Rhinolophus ferrumequinum: one gene and its partners. The protein of the gene in region 1 binds, or shares a complex with, the protein of each later gene. Links are inferred from orthologs where the notes say so. Each region holds a gene or a part of one and is shown on either strand. Other genes may lie near its edges.

Region 1 (7,198 bases):
AAAATCAGTTTAATACAGTTATCAAGATGTTACCCCTTCTTGGTAAACCAAAGTCCTTTCTGCTTAAAAGAGTTTTAAATTCTCCATGGAGAATTTTGCTCTATACTGAATGAATAGTGAATGGTGAGTTTCCAGTGTGATTTTGTTCACAATAAAGTGATCCTGAGAGGAGTGGTACAAATATGCCTCACACAACAAAAATCTCACATGCAAAAATTCAAACATATAAAACAATCTTTATGTAATAAACTGAGAAAAACATACTCCAAACTAGCCAAATTTTCTGGTGCCAGGACAGCCTTAGGAAGTAGCATGGTGTTAAGGTTTTGTTCTTTTGTTGTGTTATTTTAACATTTTTTCGGCTTGGGGCATAGGTCAATATACTTCACATAGGTAAGACAGGGCTATGCTTATGTAGTATCCAGTGCTTTTGTGCTGTTCTAGCTTCTCATTCTTCAACACTAGAAACCCAGGAATCATTCCTGCTTCTTCCTTCATCTTGCCATTACCAATCACAGCTCTTTCAAAACAATTTGTGTAATCCCTCTGGGTACCCCCCTTTTTCTGTTTTTACAAACTCTGTCTCTTTCTTTCCCCCTCAGAACACAGTTGGGGTTTCCAACAAAATCTGTGTCTCCTGGATTGCAATTCCTAAAAAAGACCCCCAAATAAAGCTTTTAATTGCCTTGCAGTTCTTGGTCAAAACTGAATCATGCTCCCTTTCAACTCAGGGTTTTTGCATATGCTATTCCTTTAACTGGAACTGTTCCTCTCCCTTCTTTACCTTGTAAAGTCCCACTGATCCATCAGGTAGCAGCTTAAATCAGTGGCATTTTGCTAGGTATCTGCTATGTGCCCTTCTAGATCCAATCTCCACCATTTTCTGTGCCGTGAGAGACTGATCCATATGGAGTGCATCAATGGGAGATTCCAAAAGAGATCCAAAGTGTAGGATTGTGAGGTTAGGTGGTGATACCCCTGCCAGATCACCACTGGTTGGCAATGTTTCTCTGTCAAAGGCCATGCATGGGTTCTGTCAGGCAATCCTCTCCATATTGCTCTCTCTTGGGAGTTCAGGTAACTTCTTTCCCATGTGCCTGGAAACGGCATCATCCCTTATAGTTTCACTTGTGCCTATACTTTTGTAAGCAGACTCCTTATTAAATTCTCCTCAACTCTGCCAACTGTTTCCTTCCAGGGCAACACTGATACAATGACCTACAATGACATGTATACATTTTTATATGTAGTGTGTGTGTGTGTATATACACACACACACGTATATATATACATATATATGTATATATGTAAATATACATGCAAATAACAAGTTTCATAAAACAATTTATAACATGTGATACGTTCTGATATTTTCAATTCTATCATGTTTTGCTTAGAAAGTTTTATAACCATGATCTAATGTACCATAACCTCCAGTTTGGAAAATGTCTTAAATGATACTTCTGCCAAGTGACACTATCCCTGACTCATTAGGCTGGATCAGGATCTCTCTGTTCAAGCATTCATTGCACTTGTATTTTCCTGCATAATTTGTAATGTTTATGTCAATTTCCCCCACTAGACTGTTAAGTTCCATGAAATCAGGAACCATGACAATGCTCGCTATTGTATCCTAAGTTTCAGGCACTATTCTCAGTAAGTATGTGTAGAATGGATGAATGAATGAACAAAGGAATAAAATTCAATGTGTTATTCCTCTCAGGAGTACTTATCTTTGGATTTCTATAACAGTACATTTAACAGTGAGATTGTGAGTACATTCTCTAATATTGGGATTTCTGGTATATTTCTGGGACACAGAAAATTGGATAGGGAGAGTGGGCTATAAAGGTACATAAATTCTATCTTGATGTATTTATAAGACGATCTAATTTTAAATGATTTATATACACCTATTTTATGAAACTTTGAAGTCATCCTTTTCTCTCTCTCATTCCTCATCTATCAGCAAATCCTGTCAGTGTTACATTCAAAATATATTCAGAATTCCAGTACTCATCACTTCTGTCTACATGCCATAATCTCTCATTAGGATCATCACAATAGCTTCCGAATCGATCTCCCAGATGGTGCCCTTATTTCCCTTCAGTCTCAACACAGTGACCCTGTTAAAATGGAAGTCAGATTGAGCAGCTCCTCTATACAGAAATCTCAAATGGCTTCCCATCCCATCCTTTACAGTCCTCCGAGCTTAATTTTTCTCCATAAAGAATATGTTTCTCACATCACCTTCTAATGTGCCATACATTTTACTTGCTTATTGTCTTTCTCCCCCCTACCAGGATGTAAGTTCTACGAGGGTCAAGTTCTGTTGTTTTGTTCAGTGTCCTCCGAATCAAGAACAAAACTTGGTATGTAGGAGTCACTCAATAAACTGTTGAATAAATGAATGAATCCATAGGGTAACCCAAATAAATGTGCAATAATTAGGAAATATAAATCTCTGACGTCCATTAACTTATCTTATGCTAGTATTCAAGTAATTACTGAAGACGTGAACGTGTGGGCATGGTGCTGGGCGCCCAGACCGTTAGCCTGACAGTTTACCTTATTCCCCTAAAAGGGAGTAAGGTCTTTTCAGGGCAGTCCTCCTTACCCTCGGGGTCAAATCAAAGGATGGAGGTAAGAATGTAACTCATTTCTGGAAAGAGATAAAGGAGCAGAAGGAGGGAAGGAGTAAGGTAAAGAGAAGGGCTCCTCCTGCCTTTGTGCTCCCGGCCTTTCTCTTCCAGGATAGGATCCGAGAGTCTCCGTTGGCCTACTCCTGTCTAGTAAGAGGGAAAGCTACCCCTACATTGGCGAATCAAATCTGAGGTACCTCAAGCGGCGCTATGTCCTCCCGTCCGGCTTCACTTTTTCCACCTACAACCGGAGCTCGCAGGAACCACGCTAAGATGTTTCTATGGCAACGGTCAGCTTTGAGGGACTTTTTGCTTCTCTTTTAGTTGGCTACTACTTTGCCTTCCTCTATTCTAAAAAATAATACATGTTGCAGCTTGCAAAAATGGAAGGACTTAAGGGAAGAATTTTAAGAGTGTTGTTAAATGTGGCTTGTTTCAGTCAGAAGACGATTTCTGAGGCTTTTTTTTTGGCGGTCGCGGAAGATGCCTAAACTGGAGGCGAGGTGAAAGTATTTTTCCCACAAGGCTACGCGGCGGGGCTTCGCCTTCCTTTTTCCGCCATTTTGGCGCCTGGGGAGGTGAGTGGTTTTCGTGCTGCTGAAATTTGGGGGTAAATAACTGGAGTGCGTTCAACCACATATGTCTCTGAGCCACTGTTGCGGCTCGGAGGCACTGCCAGCCACTGATTTCTATGGATTCCAGCAATAGGGAGGACAGGATGGAGGAGATATGGGACTGATGGTGCTGGTCCCCTGACGTCCGGAGAGCGGGTGCTCCCGTAATCAGAATTGCTTCTTCTGGGCCGTAACGGAGTGAAACAGATGCACTTCGTCTGCATTTACCTTTTTGAGGCAGTGGCTCTTTTAGGATGGATTTTTTCCAGTTGCTCCCATTCCAGTCTTGGCTTTTGCTTGCTTACAGTTTCTTCGGTTTTCTTTCCCATTTATTGCTAAAGAGTTGTTTTCTGCATGTTTCTCTGACTCCTTGATCTTCCTTCTGATCATGGCATGAATTTTCTTAGAACTTCCTTTGGAGTTTCTTTGGGTTATTTTAGTGTAGAGTCTTGACACTTATTTTCAAGTTTACTTAGCTATTAGGCATTCTTTGGGGTTGGGATGTCGTGCCAGACTGCGCTTCATGTATTTATGGCATAGTTACGTTTCCACACTCAGCGTGAAATGCCGATCAAAAAGGAATTTAACGTAACACGTTTAAGAGACGAGAGGGGACCAGGTGGGGAGTATGCGTTACGAGATTTTAAACTGATTTTTTTGTTTATTTTAAGGCCTGCTGGGAACAGGACTTCTAAAACGACAAATATGTCTGGAAGGTACTGCTTTTCATTGTTTTGTACTCGAAGTTTTTTGTTCAGCATGAATCTAAAGGCGAGTTTAAAACTAGTGGGAGAAATTAGGTAACTTTTGGGTGAGGGTCGTTACAAGTCATATTATACTGGACGTTTGAACTTAAAGGAGATATTAACAACAGCTTATGGTTAATATATACTTTGTGTGTTTTAGGTTGTGGTCCAAAGCCATTTTTGCTGGCTATAAGCGGGGTCTCCGGAACCAGAGAGAGCACACAGCTCTTCTTAAAATTGAAGGTGTTTATGCTCGAGATGAAACTGAATTCTATCTAGGCAAGAGATGTGCGTATGTGTACAAGGCAAAGAAGTAAGTTTATAGTATTATACTTTTTGCATTTTTATTTGATCTGTGTCATTTTCCTATTCAAAGAGGAATAAAAAGATGTTGGTAAAGTAATTGGTACTGTTGTGCCTTCTACTTTGGGATTTTAAGGAACTTCATGGGATGGGAGGTTACAGAAGGATGTTATTTTGTGGATGATGTTGGGTACAGCTGTTAAATGTTTCAAGAAAGGAGCCAACTCCTTGTATGATTTAAAAATTTTACAGAGTACTTTACATGTTCCTTAATTCATTTCGTTGATTCCTTGAAATTATGTTTTATATGTATACTTAAAGATGTTCCTAGAGCATTGGTTCTTAATCCTTGGTTCTTAAACCCATTCCAGACCAATTAAAATCTCTGGGGACATGCCTTCATCTTTGCCCCCTTTTCCTTCTACAGCCAGAGCTCTTTAAAATTATGTCAGGTCATCGCTGCATTGCTCAAATTCCAACTGATCCTCATCTCATTTAGTAAAAGCTAAAGTCGTTAAAGATCTTATGCATTCAAGGCTCCCAATTTCTACTCTTAATCCAGCTAGGATTTAACTCTTGATATCTATTTCCTGCCTTTCCACAAGCCAGGGACACAAACCACAGGTTTTAAACACAGGCTGTTCCCTTATCTTCCAGTCTTTGCTCAGTGTTACCTTCTCAGTGAGGCCTTTCTTTGCTATTTAAAATTTGCAAACACAAATATTCTCAAACTTCTTATCTCCCATTGTTTTTTATTATTATTATTATATATTGCAGTTATTACCATCTGACAATCTATACATTTTACTTAACATATAACTGAAGGCTATATTTACATAGTTATCCTCTGAAAGTTTTGTTTTGTAAATGGCTCTATTTTACAAAGTTTTTAAAAATTACATTTATAAACGTGGCATATAGTTGATACTCAAGTATTTGTTGAATGAATGATGGCCCAGGCTTATTTTCAAGTTTCTCATGTCACTAAGTGGTTAACTAGGCTCAAGAGCCACTGTCTAGATGTCATTTTGAATTTGTACCACACTGTAGTGGTTGCCTGAGTTCTCATTCCTCTTTTATTCCCTTTTAAAATCAGTAACACAGTTACTCCTGGTGGCAAACCGAACAAAACCAGAGTAATCTGGGGAAAGGTAACTCGTGCTCATGGAAACAGTGGTATGGTTCGTGCCAAATTCCGAAGCAACCTTCCTGCTAAAGCCATAGGACACAGAATCCGTGTAGTAAGTCCAATTATTAGCAATATGACACTCCGTTGAGTCAAACTAAGCTCAAGGCTTGGGCTTTGACTTCTAAGAACTATTGTGATTATAAAATGTCATTAATAGATTATGCTACAAAATTCGTGGCTACTGTGTAAAATGTAGAACATCAGATCTTGGCATTAGAAGGAAAATGAAGGCAAAATATGCAAGTGGATTGTGCCTAGATTTCAGATTTTGCTAAAGCTGCGGTGAGGGGAAAAGCATTTAAATGAACATTTTTCTGGCAAAGATATTTATTGGACACTGAAGTAATTGCTAGAAAATAAAAATTCAATTTTTCCTGGCATAATTTTTTTTTTAAATTATAAAGTTTATTGGGGTGACAGTAGTTAGTAAAGGTACATAGATTTCAGGTGTACAATTCTGTAATACATTATCTATATCTCACATTGTATGTTCACCACCTAGAGTCAGTTCTGTTTCCATCACCATGTATTAGACCCTGTTTACCCTCTTCTAGAGCCCCCCTCCCTTTTTTAAAGATTTTATTGGGGAAGGGGAATAGGACTTTATTGTGGAACAGTGTTTTTTTCCCAGGACCCATCAGCTCCAAGTCCGTTTGACGTTTTCAATCTAGTTGTGGGGGAGGGGGGCACAGCCCATCATCCCACGCGGAAGTCAAACTGGAAGTCAAACCGGCAGCCTTCTTGTTGAGAGCATGCGCTCTAACCAACTGCCATCCAGCTGCCCGGGAGATCAGTGGCAGCTTGTCTTCAATCTAGTTGTGGAGCGCGCAGCTCACTGGCCCATGTGGGAATCGAACCTGCAACCCTGTTGCTTGGAGCTCGGGCTCTAACCAACTGAGCTATCTGGCTGCCCCTTCCTGGCATAATTCTTAGTATTTTTCCCATGTTTTCATCATGACAGTCTCGTTAGAGTAGGTGTTATTGGCCTTATTTTGTAGAAGAAAACTGATGCTCATGTTTTTGGGTCCCAGGATTTGGGCCCAAGTCTTTGAATCCAGATCTCATGATTTTCCTAAAATAGCTCCTGTTTTCTTTAGTTAGGCTCCATTTTTAATAGATTTGGCCACAGTGTTGGGGTCCCAGGGTACTTTTGAACCCTGCTAAGCAGTTGAGTTGTCTCATCAGGAAGTTTTTTACACTGTCATTAGAAGTAGCAAAATTAAATGGACTTTCAATGCTCCCATATTGGTTCTTAATCAAAGCGTGTTCACCTAGAAACTGAAGGCTATAAAAACTTGGTTCCCTCCCCACCGGGATATAAGTCATCATTGGATGCATTTCAGAGATGAATAATGGGATTGATCCATATTGTGGTATTTAGTAACATTGGTAAATTTGTATGTAACATGCATCTAATGGCATTGTGTTCTTTTTTCCCCCCAGATGCTGTACCCCTCAAGGATTTAAACTTACTGAAAAGTAAATAAAGTGGATTTGTTCTCTTGTATTTTTGTTAAATGGCTTAAAAATCACTTTGTCCTAAATTCATTTGTTACGTCCTTAAATGATGGTGGTTGTCAGGCATTTTCAAAGTATTCAAGGAAGTCAAAGGGCTATATGTAATGATGATTACAGAGATTTAGACAATGGGATAGGATGTGAGTTTGTTAAAGGAGAGGGGGACAGTAGAAAGTACCTTGAAAG
Region 2 (7,139 bases), on another chromosome or scaffold:
ACTAGGAGGGGTTTGAAGGTTAAAGCTCCCTTCCAGATTCTTCTACAGCTCTGCCAAGTGGACCAGCCCTGTGTGAGGATGAGGCATGGAGGCCCCGAGAGGCCCTGCAACGTACACAAGGACACTCTGCGAGGTGGGCTGGTGCCAAGGCTGGGGCCTCCCTGGGTTGCTGGCATCGTCTCCCAGAGCATTCCCTGGGTTCAAGAATTATCACCTCGTTCCGACCCCGCAAACCCTGGGCTGGGGCTTTCCCAGACACGCTCAGTGGGATGTGGGACCCACAAAACCACAAGCCCCAAATGGACTGGGTTTCTTGGTACATATGGAGAAGGTAGACGAGGGGTGCAGTTAACAATGCAGATGTGTTATTTTGCTGCTGGCTCTCCACCCCAAGGCCAGGCAGGGGCAGAGAGGCTGGGGTTCCTCATTGCCTAGGCTCACTGCAAAAGCAGCTCCAAGTGCCAGGCTGAACACATGCTAAGGCCAGGCAGGGTCATGGGAAAAAGACACCCCAAGGCCCAGCGCAAGTGTGCAGGGTTGCCCCGTCACTGAACCCTCCCAACAGCAACCGAAGAGGTGGGTAGCTCCATGGTCAAGAGTACAAACTCTAGGGTCAGCCTGCTTGGTCCAGATCCTGCCTCTGCTACTTCCTTGGACCAATTCTTCACCTGCTGGACCTGTAAAGCAGGAATGGCAGTAGTTGCCCCACAGGGCTGATGAAGGATTACATGAGATAGTGGTTGATAGTGCCGGCCACGGGTTGCAGCAGGAATGTGACTGAGCCAGAGATTGGCCATCACCTTATTAGGCCCTGGGCTGCAGTAATCTTCTGTGTGCTGTGGAAAGAGTCCCCTCCACCACCACTGCCGGGGCTCCCTGGTTCTCTCCATTCTGCTCCAATTTCTTCATTCCTAGTATTTTTTTCAATACAATATACCAAATATACAGGAAATTAAGAAGACTTGCTCTGTGCTCCCAGGTAGATAATATCAAAAGACAAAAATCCTTGGGCGGGCCCGGTGGCTCAGGCAGTTAGAGCTCCATGCTCCTAACTCCAAAGGCTGCCGGTTCGATTCCCACATGGGCCAGGGGGCTCTCAACCACAAGGCTGCCAGTTCAATTCCTCCAGTCCCACAAGGGATGGTGGGCTCCGCCCCCTGCAACTAAGATTGAACATGGCACCTTGAGCTGAGCTGCAGCTGAGCTCTTGGATGGCTCAGTTGGTTGGAGTGCATCCTTTCAACCAGAAGGTTGCCGGTTTGACTCCCTCAAGGGATGGTGGGCTGCACCCCCTGCAACTAGCAACGGCAACTGGACCTGGAGCTGAGCTGCGCCCTCCACAACTAAGATTGAAAAGACAACAACTTGAAGCTGAACGGCACCCTCCACAACTAAGATTGAAAGGACAACAACTTGACTTGGAAAAAAGTCCTGGAAGTACACACTGTTCCCCCAATAAAGTCCTGTCCCCTTCCCCAATAAAATCTTTAAAAAAAAAAAAAATTTAAAAAAAGACAAAAATCCTTTACAAATTAATCTATGAATACAATGTAATTTCAATAAAGAGTCCAAATGATTTTTAAAGACTTTCCAAAACATTATTCTAAAATGTATATGGAGGCGTATAGGCCTCAAACAGCTAAGCCAAGCTTAATGAAAGAAGGTATAGAAGGAAGACTTGACCTGCAGACAAGAAGTTATTACAAGACAATAGTGGTAAATCCAACATGGGGTCTGTGCAGGGATAGACATGAAGACCAGTGGAGCAGAACAGAAGTCTCAGTGGCAGACTCATGTGCACCTGGGGGACTTTATACGCGACAAGAGTGGCATCATCAAGAAAGGATGGGTGGTCTGATGATGGTGTTGAAAAATTGGCTCATTATATGGAAAAAAATAAAACAGGATCCCTACCTAACCCCTCAAACAGAGATGAGTTCCTGGCAGGTTAAATGTCTAAATGAGATGCCAAAACTATAAAATTAATGTAGGAAAATATTTTGTGACCTAAGGGCAAGGAAGGACTTCTCAAGCAAAACTTCATAAGCACAAAACATCAGACAAAACCTGGCCAATTTAATTGCATCAAAATGAAGGTTTTTCTGTTTAATGAAGGACACCCCGGGCCATGTTAACAGACATGTGACAGAATGAGGGTAGGTATCTGCAACACTGGAAACCAGGGACAAACATCTGGAAGTCCAGCAAACCAAAACAAGGACATATCCCTACTAGAGAGGAACGGGTTGGACAAATTCAGGGAAGGAAACACCTAAAACTAACACGTTAGCACATGAAGACACATTTAAAGTCATTAGTTATCAGAGAGAGGCAAGTTTAATGGAGATATGTGAAACTGGCAACCGTTGGAAGCTGCTGGCAGGGGCAAGGGTTCTAGGATCCCTCACGCATTGCAGAAGGTGGGGAGAGGGTAGGTTTCATTGCCTGGAGAAAAACAGGGTGCTGCTGTTGAATCAGCAGTCCTGCTCCTGGTTACTTATCCTAAAGGAAAACTCTTACAGGTACATGACCGATGACATTGTGACATTATCTGTGATGGAAGGGAGGTGGGGCGAAGTGGGGTGTCCATCACTGGGAGAATGGAGAGGTAATTAATGTGGATCCTTGCTGTGGACACCTAGCAACATGGATGGATCTTAAGAACATGGTTCTTAGTGAAAATAAAAGAAACGGGGAATAGGAATGCCGTATCATTTACACAAATTAAAAAGAGAAGCATGCAAAGCAATGCACTCTACAATGATTGTCTATGGGGACAGAAAGTGAGAGTGGGTGTAGGGATAAAGGGGAATAAATAAATATACAAAAGAAGTGGGCTGTTACATGGGGAAAAGAGAAAAATGAAGCCTATGTTCCATTCCACCAGCCTCCACATTACCTGCTTCCCTTTTCCTCTTCTCTTCCTGCCTTCACCCCTGGCAAATTCCCTACAGAGCTAATCGCAGGACGCTCACCAGGACGGGGGGCCTCACGCGGTCTCTGGAGCTTTCCCTCAGTCCAATTTATCCTTCACATGTTGTTTTTCATGACTGCATAATATTCTAACCAGAAGAAAAAGAATCCTCTTTATTATTGAGAATTGAGGTGACCTACGTTGCAACCAGTAACAGCAACTATATGACCTTGTCAGGACATCTGCAGTATTTCTCCAGACCCTTATCTCCAAACCTCCACAGGCCGAATTATGACTTTTGTGGGCCCCTCCTTCCAAAAACAAAACAGTCAAAATGATATTTTATGACTCCATTGGTACAAAGATGAATAGAACCCAGGGTAGACTCATCATTGTAGGTCCATTATTAGTCTATTAATTTTTTTTTCTTCTGAATTTAGAAGAAATTCAAATGAAACATTTTCATGGGCCTCTAACCTAATGAGCAAGTTTTCTCTGTCCTGGGAGCTTCATACTAAATCAGAGGCCCAGAAACCAGGCCTCTAGTCCTGGACTAGAAACCAGGACTCAGGCAGCCTGGCTCTGTTCACCACAGGACAGGGCCCACACTGGTTTCCATCTATCCTGATGAAGGCCACGTTGATTGTGCATGGTGCAAGGGCCGCAGTATCCTGGTAAATGTTTAACTGGCTCGATGAGAGAAAAAGCCCTGGCCTGTAGCATTTGCCAATTTCTGTGGTGTAAATAATCCCACGGCCAATTTTAAGCCAATTTTTATCGATGCGACATCACTAAACAAAAGTTGGGAAAAGATGCAGAGTAGCTCACCATTATATAATATTTTTATTATACAGATACAATAGGCCTAAATAACCTCAAGAGCTTACATAATAGTACAATATAGTAAAATAATTAGGAAGGGATGCATTTTGGCTATTTATTGCCTTTGTTTTAGATACAATCTATTTACTTACACATTTTGATAATTCAATTTTTAATAATGCCTTTGTCAACTAGCTCACAAACCTTCTTGAAATTTTAATAACCAGGTCTTGCAAGCTGCCACAAGCTGGCTCCAGCCGCCACTTTTCAAGGGATCTGCAGTAGTGGGTCTTCTGGGCCCAGAACTGAGTAGTGACAGAAGACTACATTTCCCAGAAGCCTCCTCTCCCAGGACCAGACAGCTTCCCAAAGCCGTTACCATGGAGACAGGCTAACAGATGGTACAGGCTGTCCTCAGAGGACTGGGGGTGATTGGACCTTGCCTGCCAGGGAGAGGGGAAGGTTGGTAAGGGGGCTTCCTCTGCCCAGGGCTTTCAGCCCTGATCTTTCTGGGGAAGTTTTGTGTGTGTGTGTGTGTGTGTGTGTGTGTGTGTGTGTGTGTGTGTTGGGGAAGGGAGGTTGCTTCTGGGAGGGGGGTGTGGAAAGTGGCCTGTGGTGGTGGGGAGGTCCTCTGGGCCTCTGGGTCTCTGGGTAGGGTCCGGGGAACTTTGAGGCAGGACTGCCCTCCCCAAACTGCGCTGTAACTGATGAGGTCGCCCAATACTCTGTGAGGAACAAAGTATTACGAGTTCTGGCCCGTCTCTGCCTCTGATGACCGTGTTCTGTGACCTTAGGCTCAGAGCCCATCTCAGTGCCTGCCCCAGTTGTAACCCCCTGCTTCCCACTGATACCTTGACCCTCTCCCCATTCTACTTCTTTCCTTACTCACCACCCTCCTCCCACCGCTCACACCATCCTTCTGAGACTTCCCCATCTCATTAGGCCCTTAAGTGCATGGGTTTCAAACCCCAGATCTGCTATTTACTCTCTGTGAACATAGGCAGTTTCCCCTTGTTCTAGGCCTCAATTTTTCCCTCTACAAAGTGGGTATCATAATAGTGCCTGCCTCACAGAGTCATTGGAGGATAAATGAAATTATCTCTGTAAAACCCTTAGTTAGCACAGCGCCTGGGACTCAGTAGGTGTTCAGTAAACTGGAAGTGCCTTGTAATAGTTATTATCGTCCGCCCTGAGCTTATCCTCTCTGTGCCCAAGAAGCAGACAAATGGCTCTAATCACCAGGCTGTGTTGCTTGCCTGGTGGGCACAGCAGCAGGTTTGCTGCAGGGAACTGGGGTTCTGAACAGACCTGCTGGACACAAGGCCTCAGTTGTGATGTTGACTCCCTGGGACTAGGGTGAGCTGACCTCCAGCAAAGCAACAGGTGCAGTCAGCCCCTGCTGAGTCCTCCAGCATGTCAGCAGTGGACAGAAAACATCCGTCCCACTTTTCATATTGCAGAAGGGGAAATTGACGCCCAGAAAGGGGCAGAGAATGGTCCAAGGCCCCAGCAGGAGCTGCTGGAAGAGCCAAGATTCCCCCTAGCCAGGCTGGTGATCAGTGACTAGCCGCCCACCCCAAGGCGGCCCAGGTAGGGATGGAGCAGGGAGGTAGGGCCCGGCTTCTTGGTCCTGGCTCCACCCCAGAGGGTGATGACAAATCTGGGGAGAGCCTGCTCTTTTCTCCTCGATCCTCACTCTCCTCTCCCACCACAACCTGTGCATTAGGTCAGTTTTCCTCCTCTTTGGGCCTTTGCCTTATTTATTGTTAAAAAAAAAAAATAGATATTTGAGGTGGGGTGATGGAGAGACATGAGCTGGGAGGCAGGAGGCTGGGGGATCAGCTGGGATGGTTTAACAGGAACGTGCTTAAACAAGCAGTAGCTGAATCTCCTCACAGGATGGGAAGTCTGGCGGTGGCACTCAAGGCCTCCACGGCACCTCTTGGGACCATGGCTCCCCCGTCTCGTCACTCTGCCGTATATAGCTGTCAGCGTTGGTCCTCATGTTGGTCATCTCATAGTCATTAATTGGCTGCCCCACCTCCTGCTTTATATCTGTGTCCCAGGCAGGGAGAGGAGAAGGGCAGAGTCTGGGCCGCCTGGGCCCTACCCTTTGACATCCAGCAACTTCAACTGACATCTCAGCGGCCAGAACGGGTGTACCTCACAGGGCCGACCCCAGCTCCAAGGCAGGCGGGGAAGCGGAACATTTCAAACCAGGCACCTGGCTGCCCCCGGTAACATTGGCGTTCTGTTGTACGGAAAGGGGGACTGGATCTTTGGGTAGGAAACTAGTGGTCCGCCTCAGGGAGGCTTTGCTCTGTAACCACAGGCAAGGACTTCCTAGGGCGCACGAACACATATGGCGTTTCAGTTTGGCTCCCAAACAAGCTGACACGGGGCTTGGCCAGGAGACCGCAGGCTCTGTTATCCCCCACGTGCCTGCCCTTTGTCCAGCTGCCTCAGTGGCAGCCCTGTGTTTGCCCCCTCTGTCCCTCAGTTCCAAGTTTCGTGACGCGACCTTCTTTTTGTTACATTCCATATCATCTTACTATGATGAATAATTTTCTTTAAACCAATTCACTTATTAGACTTAATAAATATATTTAGACAGGAAATTTTATGATACTGAAGTAATCCCTTCAGCATTAGCATCACTTGCCATACAGAGAAGGTACTGTCAGAATAAATATGCAAAAAGCCAAGCAATATTAGTACGTTTGGACTACCGTCTCCTGCCCTGACAATAGTTTCCAATCTGTGGCCTGCTTGTCTTTGTTTTAAAGAGAGTCTTCAAGTGGAGACTTTCTCCTCAATGGAAAGGAAGTTTAAGAGAGATTCACTTCCTCCTTCTGTGATCTAAAACACCAAAAATCACGGCTCAGGGACGCAGGTGGTCTTGGTGGCTCCTTCCTGGTCTGAAGTTGGCCATTCTGAGTGCGTGTATCCCTCCAGCAGAGTCTCCGTCTCTAGACAGTCAGAGACACACCAAAATGGAGGTCCTGAAGGAGAAAGTGGAGGAGGAGGAGGCAGCCGAGAGAGAGGAGGCAGCCGAGCGGGCAGAGAGGGGCGAGAAGATGAGGCCATCAGAGGTCCGGAAGGGGGGAACCATCATGACACAGGAGATGCTCAGAGACCTGGAGAAAAAGCTGTCGGAGATTGAGATTACTGTCCCAGGCAGGGACTCGTGAGTGCTGAGGTGGAGGCTTTGGGCCCCGCCGTTCTGGAGACGGCCTGAGCAAGGCTGGGAGAAGGAGGAGCCCGGAGGCATGGTGGCACCTGGGCTGGGAGGCAGGACCAGGAACAGAGAAAGCAGTTAAGAGCGAGGGCTCTGCTTTCAGACCGCCTGGTCCAAGGCCCACTCTTCCCCCGCGCTAGCTGTGTGACCCTAGGCAAGTCACTC
Region 3 (7,982 bases), on another chromosome or scaffold:
AGGATTGCACATCACTCTTCATGAGTTTAGTTAGCTTGAGTGACTCCCCAAAGTCTGATCAATTCTGATTAATTGGCTAGATGTAATTTCTAATCTTCAAAGCTGAGAATCAAATATAGGAGTGCAATGTCAATACAAAGATTATCCTCAGACAGCATGTGCCTTTATTTCATCATGCCCTTCAAAATGTAATTATAGTTAACTCAAAAAATTGTTAAGAATAAATGAGATATACCATACAACAGTGCTTCTCAAACTTTAATGTGTATATGAGTCACCAAATCTGTTAAAATGAAGACTGATTCATAGGTCAGGAGCAAGAACTGACATTTTTCTTTTCTAATAAGCTCCCTGTGATGCCCAGGCTACTGTCCACACACCAGGAGCTAGAACACCCCTGGGACAGTATCTGGCATACTGGCTTCTCAGCGCCATTAACTGTTCTTCCCATTGTGGATATCTTATCTCCCCTACAGATCTTACCTTTCTAGGGAGAAAAGATGAGGGCTTTGTCATCTTTATATCCTCCAAAGTTCTAACCTAATCAGAATGCCTTCCATATGATAGGCATTAAATATGCCAACTGAATGAATGACATACAGCTTTTAACAGTCATTACTTCTTCTATACTTATAGACAGATTGTTTCTCCCTCTGAATTATTTTAAATAATGTATTTCAAAAATATTTCTGAAAACTGAAAAATCAGAAAAGCTCTCAATCTATTTTTAAAGTAAAGAAAAAAATTGTATTTGCAACATAATCCAGTGCTTTGTTTCTCATGCTGACCTAATCAAATCTTTTGCTAAAACACAAATATCCACAAGTAACTTATCTCCTAATGATTGTTTACATTTTTGTAAGAATTAATTAAAATAACTAAGTCATTTGGTTTTCTGAGTTTTAAAAAAAACCGTACAAATAATAATTTTATTAGAATGTACCTTAATGCAGTATGATAACTTATAAGGACATCTTAGGAACGTTGACATCTATATAAAATAATTCTGTCCTTTCAGACTAAGGGTACCATGAAAAAATGAAATAGTATGACTCTTATCTATAGGCAGATCTTCGCAGTTTTTGTGCTTCCCCGCTGAATTTTCTGTGATCACCATGACAACTGACTATCTCAGAACTGGCTTCTTCACTTGTAAATATTAGTTGTTAACCTGAAACACTTTGTTCCATGCTGAGAAAAAAGGCATGTTGATAGGGTGTGCTTAGATCTCTCAAAAAAGGAAACAGAGGTGGAATGAATTACTTTCATTTCTAAGATGTGCACCTCTACAGTTATGGCTTGATGTTGGTTTTGCGATGAGTCTGCCAATTCCCAAACATAAACAGACATTTTCGAGTAAGAGGATGGTAACCCAGTATTGGATTATACTGTTCAGTGAAAACAAAGGTCTTGCAAATAAACGTGGATAATCGCTTCTCCGCACAAAAGAACACATCAATCCTTCCGATCTAGTGACCAGGAGCCTGGAAGCCCCGTCCTTCCACGTTGGCCGCGCCCGTGACCGGGTTGGCGGGCTGATGCGGCCGCGAGCCCGCGGCAAAGGCCGAGTCGGCGCACGGGAGCTAGTGCGCGTTCCCGCTCGATTGCTCTGTCGTCTTTATTAACATCGTGTTTTGTTTTGTGTTTTAAAACAAAACCCCAGACGGGTGGGCGCAGCCGGTAGAGCAGAGGCATTTCGGAGCCTAGAGGCGCGGAGGGGACAACTGTGACCTCGAGGCCGTCCTCCCATGTCCCCGGTGAGGAGGCAAAATGGTGGCCGCGGGAGCCAAACGCCTGGGGAGGGGGAGGGGTTGCGGCGCGGCCGGAGAGGACCCGGCGGCCAGGCCCGTCCTCACCCAGGACGGCCCGGGGACCACAGCTCCGGAAGCTGCCGGCGTGGCGCCTGCGGCCCGGAGAGCCGGGGCGACGGTTTGGAAGCGGGGTCCCCGCGACCGTGAACAAGGACGCCATTATCGCCCTACGCCGCCAGTGCCTCGGCCGCAACCCAGGCTGGAACCGTGGCTCGGTCCCCCGAGGGAGGGACGAAGAAGGGGGACGGGAGGAACTGGGCGGGCGGGGCGGGGAGGAGACCGAGGGGGGCGGGGCGGGGAGGAGACGGGGGCGGGGCGGGGCCGAGGCGTGGGCCGGGGAGGCGGCGGGAGCCGGGGAGAGCGGCCCCCTCCGCAGTCACCGCGCCCTGCGGTGGGAGTTCCAGATGGAGGGTCACCCGGCCCCACCCGGCGCTCCCCTGCGCGGCCCGGGTCGCCGCGGGCGGCGAGGGCAGCCTCTTACCTGAGTGTTCCCTTTCTTTATTGTCCGCCATCTTGTGCGGAACCCGTTGCCCGAGAGACGACGGTCGTTAACCGAGGGCGCGGCGTCCTTGCCCCTCCAGCCCCCGCGGCGAGTCGGGCCTGGAGGACCGCTGCTCGAACCCGGAGGGAAGGAGACCCTTAATCGGGGGAAGGGGCGACTCCGAGCACGCGCCCTTCCCCCACTTCCCGCCGCGACCCTCGCGCGCCTGCGAGACCCGAGCCCGGTCCCGCCGCCCCCCGCGCCGCTCCACCGGCTGGAGCACTTTCCCCGCAAAAGCGGAGCCTCAGCCCTGATTTCTCTGACGTAGAGGAGTTATTTAATAAAGTTCCGAAAGCCTCCTTTCCTTTATTTTTGATGCATTTGGGGACATCAGACACACAGCTATCGCCCACCCCTCCTGGGACGACGTGGCGTTACTCGATTTTTATTTTTGATTTTTTTACTGCAGATTTTAAAACGCACCTGGAGAGCTGGGTGAAGCGCCCGACTCCCGAGGGGGTGACAGAACCCCCCCGCAATCCCGCCTCCTCCCCCTTCCCACCCACCGCCCGCGTCGCGCTGGGAAGCGGCTGGCTGCGGCGCAGAGGCCGACCTGCCCCTGCTCTTGCCGTCCGCCTTTGCTCCGCTCCAGGCATGGCTCGCCGCCGGCTCCCAGGGACGGCGACTGCACCGCCTATGGGAACTGGAGCTAAACGCAAAACTCGGCCGGGTGCAAGAGGAAATCAGAGCCATTTGACTGTTATTACTTGAAGAAAGAAATAGCTGGAGAAAAACGTGTGCAAAATAGGTTGCGTCGTCAAGGCTGCAATTTCTGATACGGAATAGGTTCTCCTAGCGACAAAAAACGTGCCCGAGTTGTGCTTATTGCTACAATAGGTTAAGATGTTCTTAGTTGTGAAATTGGACTTGACCTCTAGTTAAAGTTACTATGGAAAAGTCCTACAGCCCGCTTTTCTGAAACTTGCAACTGGAACATGATGTTAAATTTTGGTCTCTAAAATTTTAACGAGAAGTTCACTATACAAGAATATTTTCTTTTTAAGATGATTTTTGAATAATATGCCTAATAATGAGGGTCAAACGAATATGTATTTTTAAAACTAATCTTGGATGATTTTTTTAAGTGCATATGTGTACTAATGTAAATGACTTGATGTTATGTAAAAACAGTAAGAGGCCTTCAAAATACAAGGTATTCTATGATTTTACTGTTTTTATGCTTTTTATTAATTCTGGTTCTATAATTTCTCAGTAAACCCTAAAGCAAACTACGATTTTTCTTTATTAAAGTAAGTACTTTTTCTATAGAAGATATTCATGTGGTGCTGTGATCAGCATTCTCTTTGAAACTGAATATAAACGATGGCATCATCACAAATGGCTCATATTCAAAGATAGATATTTATAAAAATGAATACAATTGTGTACAGTAAATTCTTCACACCCAAAAATATGGAAAGTAATCATTAGCATTTATATGTAAATGTCATAGTCATTATGGTCTACTTATTTGTTTAAAGAGGCCCACTGGCCATATAGATAATGAAGGGCTTTGAAATAAATGTAGAAAACCAACTTTGGTCTCAGGTTTATTACCTATACCTATTTCCTGTGCCTTTTCTCCTATGCTGTTTTGCATTTCTCTTTTTCTGGAATGCCTTTCTCTTCTCTCTCCCTACCCCAACATTCACCCTCCCACAGTCACATTTGTTCCCTCCTGGTTGTCACTGACCTCCTTGGAAGCTTTTCCTGTCAACCTCTTCCTCTATCCTGTACTCATAGAGCATCTCACATTGATTGTCGATGACTTTGTTTTGCTAAAATACAAAATTCAACCAAGTAAATTTGAAGGTCTAATTGACTGTAGTAAGCGATTCATGAATTGGGCAGCAACCCCGGTAGCAACAAGAAGGGAGCTCCAATGAATTGTACAAAATGGAAGGTTTTATAGGCAGAAAGAAGGTGGCACTAGGAAGTTAAGAGTAGGTTATTTCAGGCAAGGACATCATCCCTTAGAGGAAGGCAGGGTGTCTAATCATGCAGATTACCTAACTGGTGTTGGTCAGGAAATTCCAGACTGTTTTCAAGTTTCACACCTGGGAAAGACTGAAACTGCAGTTAAGTTAAGTTATTAAGTTTCAGTAACATGGCTTAGCAAAAGTGACTCCATTTTGGCCTGTTGATTCTTCTTTTAACAGTTTATTTGCTTGTTTCCTTCTACCAAACTAAGCTCTTGAGGATAGCAAACGCTTTATTTGTCCATATATCCCCAATGCCTAGAACAATTTTTCAACTTTTGTGTCTGAAATAATATGTATTTTAAAAATTAAACCAGGAGTTAGTCTTGTCAATGATTGAGAAGCAAAGTTTATTATTTAGATTATTCCAAACCACATTAATCTCTACTTCTCTGAATTCCCACAGCATATTTAATACAATACTGTTTCTCTAAGTTTGACTGAGTAAAAAAAAAAATTTAATAGATGTTAATTAACCCCTCCCCCCAATTAGGTTTGAAGACAAGAGCCTAATCACCTTTTATATACCCACAATCCCTAGCCTAAATTGGGGCACATATTAGAAGCTTAATATATACTTTTCAATTGATTAATTAGACGTAAAAGTATGTAATTATTCTGGAAAACTTTCCACGAAGTGAGAAAATAACCGAATAACACAATAAAGGCCCACAATACCAATGAGTAATTATGTGCATTATGCTGATATTTGACTCAACTTTCCACTTTTCTTTGGTTGTGGAAACTTGACCTCCAATTTTAACTTTTTTGAAATATAATTAGCTCACTTAGGACAATGGCAAACTACAACCATTTCTTTTCCTTAGAATATATTTCGTTTCCGAACTATAGATTGAGTAACTTTGTAATATTATATGCTGCTAAGGCATTCTTTCACTTAAGAATCTCAGTGATTTTGTCAGAAATACAGAATTGGAAAAATTATTTTTGTTCCCATTCATGGATATATAACCTTAGGACTAAATCAGAAAAGCAAGAGCATAGTTTTAGACTGTGACACTTACTTGATCAATTATTCAATGGGGACAGATGGCTATGAAAAAGTTCTGTCCTTTTGCATGTTTGAATGTACTGTGAGTTAAATCTTTTTCTATAGGTGTTAGTTCCGTGCCCATGAGGGACACGGGAACTTCTGTTTCTTCTGAATACAGTTGATTCAGTTACCTAAGATATGGGTGAAGTGGAATGGGTAATGGTGTGAATAATGCAAAATGATAGTCAAAAAAATCTTCATATTTACTTTCCTCATATGGCAATCATTGAAATCTCCTTGGACTAGGCAGGAATAAGCTGAAAAAACAAAAACTGGATTTTCCTCCGTCATTGCCAGAACTGACCTCCTGACCCTAGGCAGGTCAGGTCATATAATCTCTAAAACTTAGTTAACTCAGAAAGAGTCGCAGCAATGTCCAAACTACCTATCTTAATGTTTTCAAGACACTCAATAGATATAACCAGAAGTTTTGAAAAGAACCTGCAAGGAAATCTGCTCTCGTTAAATGAAAAAAACCCCACTTCCACGTAGGAAAGAGCCCTTAAAGGTCAAAGCCCAACTTCTTTCCTGAGATTCAGATTCCACTTGGAGAATTTGCTTTTCCAATGCTTCAGCTACACAGTGGGAGGTGGTCTGACTCCGGGCCTCTGCTGCCTACGTGACAAGATCTATTTTACATGATAGAGGTCACCATCTTCAGTGTGTGGCCCCTTCCTGGTTTCCATCTAGCCATTTTTAAACCTTACCAAGCAGGAGTGACCTTAAGCATATCTAGAATCCTTGAGCTCTAGACCCAGCAAAATAAGAGGGAGGGAATTGCTTCTCTGGTCTGATTCCCGTTTCCTAACTGAGGATACAGCCCTTCCCTGGATAATTCACATCAAGAATGCCCAGCCCCTCAAGGAAGACTCTCGACACCTACCCAGAGTGCAAGTAGCCTTACCCTATGATCTCAAAAGGAAAACCTTATCAGAATACAACAGAATAACAGTTGGGTTTCATTACAGTTATAAAAATAAAAATAACTCAAAAGAGTACTTTGTATACATTATCTCTTTTAATCCCTATAAGGCTGATACTAGTATCCCCGTTTAGTGCTATACTGCTTCTTTATAAATTCAAGATAACATTGTTCTATGCTATTTCGTAAACTGAATATCTTAAGAAGAATGTTAAGGACAAAAATTCTGGGCAGAATTAGTCAACTTCCGCCCCTACTATTATTTTTTTTTTTTACTGCTTCAGAACATCAACTAAAACAACTGGCAGAGACTCTTAGGGACTTGAAGGGAACCAGATGATGGCATGCCCTTTGTCCTTGTTTGACCAGACAGTTAAAGACCTGGCGTCTGGATGGCAGGAGAGGAGGTGAAACTCACTTGTCCACCGTGATCCAGTGGTCTGCTTACCTTCTCTTTCCTTCTCACTTTCCTGCACATGGAGATTTCAGGCCTCAATGGGGTTGAGGAGGTTGTGTTAAATTCTTGGCCCTGGACAAGAGCATTTTCAGTGCCACAGTTCCTTCAGGCTTTTCAGGGAGACCCAGAGCAGGAAGCTGGAACTGCAGCACTGGGGGCAGCTTGCAAGTAAATCTTACATGAATCCACAACTCTTGAAAACATTTGGAAAAATCACACTCTGGGCCCTATTTCTGTCAAAAACACATGTTTCTTTCTGATTCCTTTAAAAACACACATCGCCACAGCAAGCCACTGTTTAATTCATTATTACTTAAACATTTCCTGTCCTGAGAGCACTTTGCAGGGACACTCATTGCTAAGCAACTTTTGGTGAGTCTCTGCTCTTTATTCATTGACAATAAGACTTGAAAGGTAAAGGCTGGGAGCTGACCCAGAGAGTCAATAAATGTTTATGGCTGCTCACATCACCTCTTCCTGTTTACGTGGGAAAATAGAGAAAAAGTATAGAATTATGCTGATAATTGGCTTTGGGATGATTTTTCAGTTCCTGCTTCAAAAAGAAATTTTTGAAATTAAGTTTCATTTATGTTAATGTTTATGTTAGGAGATAATGCTGTGTAGAAGAATCAAGCAAATAGTCTTAGGAGATAAATGGGCCCAGAATTCAACCTCAGTCCTTTGCTCATTTATGCTATGACTTTGGATATGTTATTTCTTCTTTGTAACCTCAGTTTCCCCATCTGAGTTTACATGGAGGTTACATGGAGATAAGGAGATTGACCATTTGGGATATAGAGGCAACCTATAATTCTCGCTGCCTCGTTGCTTCTGGCCTGATGTAATTTCTTTGGCCTATGGCTATGTGACTCTCTTAGGGCTCTAGGACCAATAGCGATACTAGTCGGAGCAGTTACTATTTTCTAGAAACGATGCCAAGCATTTTACACGGACCACCTTACTTAATCATCAAAATAAGCCTATAAGAAGGATACTAATACGATGCCCATATTAAAGATGAAGAAACCAAGAGTTAACATTCCCAAAGTGCTTCTATCTCCTCTCCGAAGAGTTAACATTCCCAAAGTGCTTCTATGTGAGGAAATGTGGCTTTTCTCCTGCGGAGCCCCGAAGTCTCTCCTGAGATTCTGCCTCAGAATCTTATTCTGCATTTTTCATTTTCTTCTTGTATCAAGACCCAAGGCTTCGGCCTGCTCT

The links. The genes of interacting proteins can lie anywhere in the genome.
Region 2: IQCG (region 1) and DRC7 share a complex: the UniProt entries of both Homo sapiens proteins name them as parts of the nexin-dynein regulatory complex. The link is inferred for Rhinolophus ferrumequinum from reciprocal best matches to the Homo sapiens genes DRC9 and DRC7.
Region 3: IQCG (region 1) and EFCAB2 share a complex: the UniProt entries of both Homo sapiens proteins name them as parts of the nexin-dynein regulatory complex. The link is inferred for Rhinolophus ferrumequinum from reciprocal best matches to the Homo sapiens genes DRC9 and DRC8.

Annotation. Positions count from the first base shown.
Region 1 is NC_046285.1:50,083,640-50,090,837, reverse strand, and holds the start of IQCG (dynein regulatory complex protein 9), read right to left. Parts: upstream 3,001-7,198; 5' UTR 2,840-3,000; intron 1-2,839. Other genes in the region: RPL35A (60S ribosomal protein L35a), read left to right, coding at 3,962-3,972, 4,163-4,315, 5,402-5,546, 6,938-6,961. UniProt on the Homo sapiens protein: Component of the nexin-dynein regulatory complex (N-DRC), a key regulator of ciliary/flagellar motility which maintains the alignment and integrity of the distal axoneme and regulates microtubule sliding in motile axonemes.
Region 2 is NC_046298.1:10,259,623-10,266,761, forward strand, and holds the start of DRC7 (dynein regulatory complex subunit 7), read left to right. Parts: upstream 1-4,120; 5' UTR 4,121-4,198; intron 4,199-5,802; 5' UTR 5,803-5,973; intron 5,974-6,691; exon of another isoform or gene 6,692-6,694; 5' UTR 6,695-6,729; coding exon 6,730-6,923; exon of another isoform or gene 6,924-6,935; intron 6,936-7,139. UniProt on the Homo sapiens protein: Component of the nexin-dynein regulatory complex (N-DRC) a key regulator of ciliary/flagellar motility which maintains the alignment and integrity of the distal axoneme and regulates microtubule sliding in motile axonemes.
Region 3 is NC_046310.1:16,398,679-16,406,660, forward strand, and holds the start of EFCAB2 (dynein regulatory complex protein 8), read right to left. Parts: upstream 3,020-7,982; 5' UTR 2,906-3,019; exon of another isoform or gene 2,776-2,905; intron 2,423-2,775; 5' UTR 2,324-2,422; coding exon 2,293-2,323; intron 1-2,292. UniProt on the Homo sapiens protein: Component of the nexin-dynein regulatory complex (N-DRC), a key regulator of ciliary/flagellar motility which maintains the alignment and integrity of the distal axoneme and regulates microtubule sliding in motile axonemes.